Linked DNA regions of Xenopus tropicalis. The protein of the gene in region 1 purifies or fractionates together with the protein of each later gene. This does not show direct contact. Links are inferred from orthologs where the notes say so. Each region holds a gene or a part of one and is shown in the gene's direction. Other genes may lie near its edges. The genes, in order: atxn2l and lsm12.

Region 1 (4,519 bases):
GCCCCATGCCTAGCTGCCAGTCTTGGTGTCTCTGTCATTTCACACTGGTCTGTCTCTTGGTGTCGCCCTGTTCCCTGGCTCATCTCTCAGTGCCCCATGCCTAGCTGCCAGTCTTGGCGTCTCTCTCATTTCACACTGGTCTGTCTCGTGGTGTCGCCGCTCTCTTCCCTGGCTCATCTCTCAGTGCCCCATGCCTAGCTGCCAGTCTTGGCGTCTCTCTCATTTCACACTGGTCTGTCTCTTGGTGTCGCCCTGTTCCCTGGCTCATCTCTCAGTGCCCCATGCCTAGCTGCCAGTCTTGGTGTCTCTCTCATTTCACACTGGTCTGTCTCTTGGTGTCGCCGCTCTCTTCCCTGGCTCATCTCTCAGTGCCCCATGCCTAGCTGCCAGTCTTGGGGTCTCTCTCATTTCACACTGGACTGTCTCTTGGTGTCGCCGCTCTCTTCCCTGGCTTGTCTCAGTAGCAGCGGCTGCTGTATCGCTATTGCTGTGCCCAGGTTGATGCCAGTTTATTAGCTGGTATATCGGTAGTGCCATAGACACACACAGTGCCCAGTGGGGTCAGTATATAATAATAATAATAATATGAAACCGTGCCACCAGGGTTACATGCTAATGGCCGCCTCTCCCTCCCAGCCTGTGTCTGTGCCGCTTTGTCTATAAATACCAACTTACGCTCATGTTTGCCCCGCCAACCCACTAGGTACCTATAGGTATTTAACCCAATCTGCCTGTATCAATGCCACAAAGCCTTTGGCTCCTCCCCCATCATTGCTTTCCCTCCTATGGACTCCCAAAACCTCTAAACCAAACCCCTGACACTCCATGGAGCAGCATGTGTTTAATAGTGATGTGGGAGACGGCAAGGGAACCCCCAAAACCCACTGGCGAAGGAATAGAATGCAGAGTTCCCCCCTCCCCCATTTCCCGCTTGCGGAAGGATCCGCCCACTGCAGTGTCGCATCACACCCTGTCTGTGTGGCGCGGGCGGAGGGATACGGGCTGGGGGTGGTGAGTCTGTGCTTAAGTGGCGCGGAAGGAGGCATATGCCGGTGGGCGGGGCTAGGGAGAGTGACGCCTTGGGGGAATGGGAGCCGCAGTGTGTAGCTGCCCGAGGGTCGCTGAGAGGCGTGGCTTCCGCACGGTACCGGCTACAACACTAAGGCTTCCCTCCGGTCAGTGTGGCCCTTTCTATATAGTGTGAGAGGTCACCGCGGTAGCCACCTCACAGCCCCGCCCCTTCCCCTCTCTAATGTACGCGCAGCAGGGACTGGCCGCCTATTGGTTCGTGTCAGTGTTGTCCCGCCTCCTGAGCAGACTCCCATTGGTGTGAGTGGCGGGTGGGGGGGTTGCGTTCCATCTTCTTTCTCATTGGGCGGCTGTGCGGGCATTGCATTTGATTGGCTTGTCGGCGTTGTTCCTTCCTGCAGCGCTGCGCGCTATTGGTTGCTGGGAGCCCCGCCCGGTTCACACGCAGTGTGTCGCGGCGGCGGTTAGAGTGAGGTAGGCGGGCGCCGCTTCATTCTGACCCTTCAGCCGTCGGTTCCCGTGTTTTGCCCCCCGTGCCCCGGTCCGACCCCCGGCGGAATATGCTGAAGCAGCAACAGGCCCCTCCCAGCCGCAAACCGGCCATGGCCCCGGCTCAGCAGCAAGGATCCCCCGGCAGCCCTAACGGGAACCTCCCCCCAGGCGGGAGCAGAAGCCAGGACAGGCCCGGAGCCGGCAGGTAAGCACTCGGGGCCCGGCTGGGGAGAACGCTTTACCGGCAGCCCTATGTGAGTGACTGGCGGCGCGGCCAATCACAGGCCGACTGTGCCGGGGACGGGGCGGGGCCCCGGGTCACGTGGGGATTGCAGGCCCTGGGTTTGTTCCCTGCCCTCCCGGGGTCTCCCCGGTACCCCCCCCCCCCCGGCACCCACTGTGGCCGCACACTAATCCTCTGGGTCTATTCCTTCCCATTCACCCGGGGGGGGCACTTAACCCTCCCCCCCCCAATATTGTGCTGCCCCCTCCCTCACGAATGCCCCCTGCCTCACTAATGCCCCCTGCCTCACCAATGCCCCCTGCCTCACGAATGCCCCCTGCCTCACGAATGCCCCCTGCCTCACGAATGCCCCCTGCCTCACGAATGCCCCCATCCTCACCAATGCCCCCATCCTCACTAATGCCCCCTGCCTCACTAATGCCCCCTGCCTCACTAATGCCCCTGCCTCACTAATGCCCCCTGCCTCACTAATGCCCCCTGCCTCACCAATGCCCCCTGCCTCACGAATGCCCCCTGCCTCACCAATGCCCCCTGCCTCACCAATGCCCCCTGCCTCACCAATGCCCCCTGCCTCACCAATGCCCCCTGCCTCACCAATGCCCCTGCCTCACCAATGCCCCCTGCCTCACCAATGCCCCCTGCCTCACCAATGCCCCCTGCCTCACGAATGCCCCCTGCCTCACCAATGCCCCCTGCCTCACCAATGCCCCCTGCCTCACGAATGCCCCCTGCCTCACGAATGCCCCCTGCCTCACGAATGCCCCCTGCCTCACCAATGCCCCCTGCCTCACGAATGCCCCCTGCCTCACTAATGCCCCCTGCCTCACGAATGCCCCCTGCCTCACCAATGCCCCCTGCCTCACCAATGCCCCCTGCCTCACCAATGCCCCCTGCCTCACCAATGCCCCCTGCATCTCTTACCGCCTGCTACCTGCCCACTTACCCCATGTATAAACCCCTGCCAGGGGCACATAGTGTGTAGCCCATTGGATCCCCTACTACCTGCCCACTTACCCCATGTAGGTGCCCTATAAACCCCTGCCAGGGGCACGTAGTGTGTAGCCCATTGGATCCCCTGCTACCTGACCACTTACCCCATGTATAAACCCCTGCCAGGGGCACGTAGTGTGTAGCCCATTGGATCCCCTGCTACCTGCCCACTTACCCCATGTAGGTGCCCTATAAACCCCTGCCAGGGGCACGTAGTGTGTAGCCCATTGGATCCCCTGCTACCTGCCCACTTACCCCATGTATAAACCCCTGCCAGGGGCACGTAGTGTGTAGCCCATTGGATCCCCTGCTACCTGCCCACTTACCCCATGTAGGTGCCCTATAAACCCCTGCCAGGGGCACGTAGTGTGTAGCCCATTGGATCCCCTGCTACCTGACCACTTACCCCATGTATAAACCCCTGCCAGGGGCACGTAGTGTGTAGCCCATTAGATCCCCTGCTACCTGCCCACTTACCCCATGTATAAACCCCTGCCAGGGGCACGTAGTGTGTAGCCCATTAGATCCCCTGCTACCTGCCCACTTACCCCATGTAGGTGCCCTATAAACCCCTGCCAGGGGCACGTAGTGTGTAGCCCATTAGATCGCCTGCTACCTGCCCACTTACCCCATGTATAAACCCCTGCCAGGGGCACGTAGTGTGTAGCCCATTAGATCCCCTGCTACCTGCCCACTTACCCCATGTAGGTGCTCTATAAACCCCTGCCAGGGGCACGTAGTGTGTAGCCCATTAGATCCCCTGCTACCTGCCCACTTACCCCATGTATAAACCCCTGCCAGGGGCACGTAGTATGTAGCCCATTTGTAGCCCATTAGATCCCCTGCTACCTGCCCACTTACCCCATGTAGGTGCCCTATAAACCCCTGCCAGGGGCACATAGTGTGTAGCCCATTAGATCCCCTGCTACCTGCCCACTTACCCCATGTAGGTGCCCTGTAAACCCCTGCCAGGGGCACGTAGTGTGTAGCCCATTAGATCCCCTGCTACCTGCCCACTTACCCCATGTAGGTGCCCTATAAACCCCTGCCAGGGGCACATAGTGTGTAGCCCATTAGATCCCCTGCTACCTGCCCACTTACCCCATGTAGGTGCCCTATAAACCCCTGCCAGGGGCACGTAGTGTGTAGCCCATTAGATCCCCTGCTACCTGCCCACTTACCCCATGTAGGTGCCCTGTAAACCCCTGCCAGGGGCACGTAGTGTGTAGCCCATTAGATCCCCTGCTACCTGCCCACTTACCCCATGTAGGTGCCCTATAAACCCCTGCCAGGGGCACGTAGTGTGTAGCCCATTAGATCCCCTGCTACCTGCCCACTTACCCCATGTATAAACCCCTGCCAGGGGCACATAGTGTGTAGCCCATTAGATCCCCTGCTACCTGCCCACTTACCCCATGTAGGTGCCCTATAAACCCCTGCCAGGGGCACGTAGTGTGTAGCCCATTAGATCCCCTGCTACCTGCCCACTTACCCCATGTAGGTGCTCTATAAACCCCTGCCAGGGGCACGTAGTGTGTGGCCCATTAGATCCCCTGCTACCTGCCCACTTACCCCATGTAGGTGCCCTATAAACCCCTGCCAGGGGCACGTAGTGTGTAGCCCATTAGATCCCCTGCTACCTGCCCACTTACCCCATGTAGGTGCCCTATAAACCCCTGCCAGGGGCACGTAGTATTTAGCCCATTAGATCCCCTACTACCTGCCCACTTACCCCATGTAGGTGCCCTATAAACCCCTGCCAGG
Region 2 (3,815 bases), on another chromosome or scaffold:
CTAAACAGCTCACCATTCATGCATTTGAACCAAATAGATTACTCCGTTTATAATTGTTAGCTGATTAGGAACACAGACCGAGATAGCAGACCTGTAGAAGACATAATTTCTTTTTTTACCCGTGAGCCGATCAACTGACTGGGTAGCTTTGTTTTGTTTTTTTGTTTTTTTAAATGAGCTGTGTGCTTAAGTGCTGCCCTTTCTGTGCTCTTTTCCTTAACCTCCTTTTCTGCAGAGTGCCCCTCCTCCAGTGGGAAGCCCAACCATGCTGATATCCTTCTCCTGAATTTGGACTATGTGTCTGACGTAGAGGTGATAAACGAAAGAACACAGACCCCACCGCCCTTAGCCTCTCTCAATATCACCAAGGTAGGAACCTATTTGCAATTTAATATATTGTCATTTTCCAAACTTCTGATTTGAATGTTGCGGTTTGTTTTGTGTTTGCTACACTGGTGGTCACCTTACATTTAGTCAGTATTTAATAATATTCTTTATATAGCACTTTATCACATTTACAACTATGGTCAATTTTATCTGGTGCCAGCTAACCTGCCTGTATGTTTTCAGTGTGTGGGAGTGTACCTGAGTACCAGGACACCATGAAAGCAAGGGGGTTATATACAAACTCCTTGCAGATAGTTTCCCAGCTTTATTTCAGCCTATTGACCCCAGCTTTTGTACTGAGTAAAACTAAGTAAATCTTTTGCTGTTATGTCTGCAGCTTGCCAGCAGAGCTCGCTTAGAGAAGGAAGAGAAGTTGAGCCAGGCCTACGCTATCAGTGCTGGAGTGTCACTGGATGGACAGCAACTTTTTCAGACCATTCATAAGACGTGAGTCTTCACCACTAACCATCTTTGTCAGATACCATGAGCAGATGCAGAGGTGCACTCGCAGGAGCAGAATCAAATTTACATTCTGTATAAGCATCTGTTGTACTTCATTTAAGATTGTAGTTGCACATTCCTCCTCATAGTTTTACGGCTGTCTGTTGTCTGGCAAAAGTGATCAGACAGGAAGCTCTAGGATATTTTTGAAGACATTTTCTTGAGTGAGTCCCTTATTTGTCCAAGTTTAAATACACACTGACCTGATAGGGAACTGAAGCCTGTATTTGCTTGTGTGACTGCAGGGCTCTGATTGGCTACTTCCTTCCTACTGTGCTATTGGCAGGGATCATTAGGACATGCCCACCCCTTGTTTGAATTGGAGAGACACCTGATAGGGTCTATAGCAGTGTTCCCCAACCAGTGGCTCGGGGGCAACATGTTGCTCACCAACCCCTTGGATGTTGGCTCTCCGTTCCCCCAAACCTGGTAGTTATTTTTGAATTCCTGACTTACTAGATATACCATGACCTGCATGAATGAAAATCTTCATAGTCGACTTAGATACAAGTTTTGGTTGAATAAAAATAAGATTTACTCCCAAATAAAGTCTCCTGTAATCTGATAGTGTCCCTTCCATGAACTTTTATGGTGCTTGTGTTGCTCTCCAAGTCTTTATACGTTTTAGAGCAATCTTTATAAGTTTTAGAGCAATATAAAACCAGCACCATATATTATTCATAATTGCCTTCAAGATTAATGTTTATTTCTATTTGTCCAATATGTCTCCTTTAATGTGCACAAAACAGCCCCTGCATGTGTACAACAGGAAATCTGTTCTTGCTTTTGGGACAGGCACTATATAGCAGGGCTGTGGAGTCGGAGGTAATTTTGGGTACCTGGAGTCGGCAAAAAATGAACCGACTCCTACTAAATTTAAATGGGAATAAAAAAAATAAAGCAAGTTTAAATGTCCCAATTCACAAACAGTCATAATTAATTACTTGGGCAATACAGTAGAGTGTTGGCTTCCTAGCCAGTAGTTCTGTGGTTAAATGACATGTATGTCTCCTTCCTTTCCTTCAATGAATGTATAAAATACATTAGCATATTAAAAACAGAGGAGTCGGAAGTATCAGAAACTGAGGAGTCGGAGAATTTATCTACCGACTCCACAGCCCTGCTATATAGCATTGAAAGTGGTTAAATTATAAAGCAGCTCTGTGACAGCAGTGAGTTGGTAACCCTAAGCATTATGATGCATTAGGTGCTCATTAATTACATGTAACATCAACTAATTCATGTTTGCTAGAGATTAAAAGGTGAAAATTTTAGGACAATACGAAAGTGACAAAAACAAGACATCTAGGTTGCCAGTGCCTGCCGGAACTGGGTTCTGATTTCCACTCTCTAATGTTAAAGGAGCTTCAGTAAGCTGTTCTCCACTTGTAGCTGATGGGGGTGGTGGTGTTGACAATAAGATCCTTATGTATATCAAGGCTGTCCATCTTGGGCTGCTTCAGAAGATTTGACTATCCAAGGTGTTTTGAGCCCCAGCCGGCCTATGTATGAAATGGCCTTTTTTTTTTTTTAAATGATTTAATATATATATCACCTTGGTACCACTACATAGAAACCTTCTGAATGCTCTGCAATAGTCAGAGAAAGGAGAATTGATCACTGATTTGAAGTATTTCAGTAAGGACCTGCTTTCATTGTGTTCAGCCATGTTTCTAAAAAGGAAAAGTAGCTCAAAATGTAACTTCGTATTTGGCTCCTCTAAATACTGTTAAGATATGTAACTTTAAAAAAAATTGCAATGTTATAAGTGGTTTTTGAATAAAATACATTACCACTAATTTATAGGGCAAAAGAAAAGACAAGTTAATTTGCTGCATTCTTTAGAGTTTTCAGAGTCCGTCTAATGAGTGATTTATGGGTTTTACTGCAATGGTGGGAGAGAGCTGCTGCCTGAACTTATACTATTGAAATTTTGCTATGCTGTATTTGCTAATAAAAGTATTGAGAGGGTATTTGAATTTTAAAAAATGTTACAATTCCTTTAAAGGGCAGTTCCTTATTCAACATTAACTCAATTTATAGGGCGTGAGCTTAAAGGGGTTGTTCACCTATGAGCTAAGTTTTAGTGTGATGTAATATCCTGAGACAATTTCCTCTTGGGTCATTTTTTATTTGCAGTTTTTTAATTATTTCAATTAGGGATGCACAGAATGCACTTTTGTAAGGATTTGGCCATTTACCGAATCCTAATTAGGTTTTGGAAGGGTTAAAAATGGAAACAATTTTCAACTTCCGTGTAAACGTGGCCAAGTCATATGATTTTTAGGATTCGGATTTGGTTCAGCCAGAGGCATGGATTCGGCCGAATCCCGAACTGAATCCTGGATTTGGTGAATCCCTAACTTCAATTTTTGTTCGGCAACTCTCCAGTTTGAAGTTTCAGTAGCTGTCTGGTTGCTAGGGTTCAAATTACCTTAGCATCCAGGGAGTGGTTTGAATGAGAAACTGGTATATAAAAAGAATAAGAAGTAACAATAACAGTAAAACTATAGCCTCACAAAGCAATAGTTTTTTGGCTGCGGAGGTCAGTGACCAATTTTAGAAGGAGACAATTCAAAATCTATAACAAATAAATAATGAAGACCAATTACAGTTGCTCAGAATCGGCCATTTTACAACATAACAAAAGTTAATTTAAAAGTGAACCACCCCTTTAAAGGGCACCTAGTACAGGTATAGGACCGATTATCCAGAATGCTCGGGACCAAGGGTATTCCGAAAAAAGGGGTCTTTCTATAATTTGGATCTCTATACCTTAAGTCTACAAAAAATCAATAAAACATTAATCAAACCCCATAAGATTGTTTTGCATCCAATAAGGATTAATTATATCTTAGTTGGGATCAAGTACAGGTACTGTTTTATTATTACAGAGAAAAGGGAATCATTTAACCATTAAATAAACC

What was found.
Region 2: the proteins of atxn2l (region 1) and lsm12 purify together in Homo sapiens (affinity purification with mass spectrometry; 4 studies listed by BioGRID and IntAct, with this or other methods). This does not show direct contact. The link is inferred for Xenopus tropicalis from reciprocal best matches to the Homo sapiens genes ATXN2L and LSM12.

Annotation. Positions count from the first base shown.
Region 1 is NC_030685.2:382,405-386,923, reverse strand, and holds the start of atxn2l (ataxin-2-like protein), read left to right. Parts: upstream 1-1,498; 5' UTR 1,499-1,589; coding exon 1,590-1,726; intron 1,727-4,519. UniProt on the Homo sapiens protein: Involved in the regulation of stress granule and P-body formation.
Region 2 is NC_030686.2:18,353,102-18,356,916, reverse strand, and holds part of lsm12 (protein LSM12 homolog), read left to right. Parts: intron 1-235; coding exon 236-369; intron 370-724; coding exon 725-834; intron 835-3,815. UniProt on the Homo sapiens protein: Nicotinic acid adenine dinucleotide phosphate (NAADP) binding protein. Confers NAADP sensitivity to the two pore channel complex (TPCs) by acting as TPC accessory protein necessary for NAADP-evoked Ca(2+) release.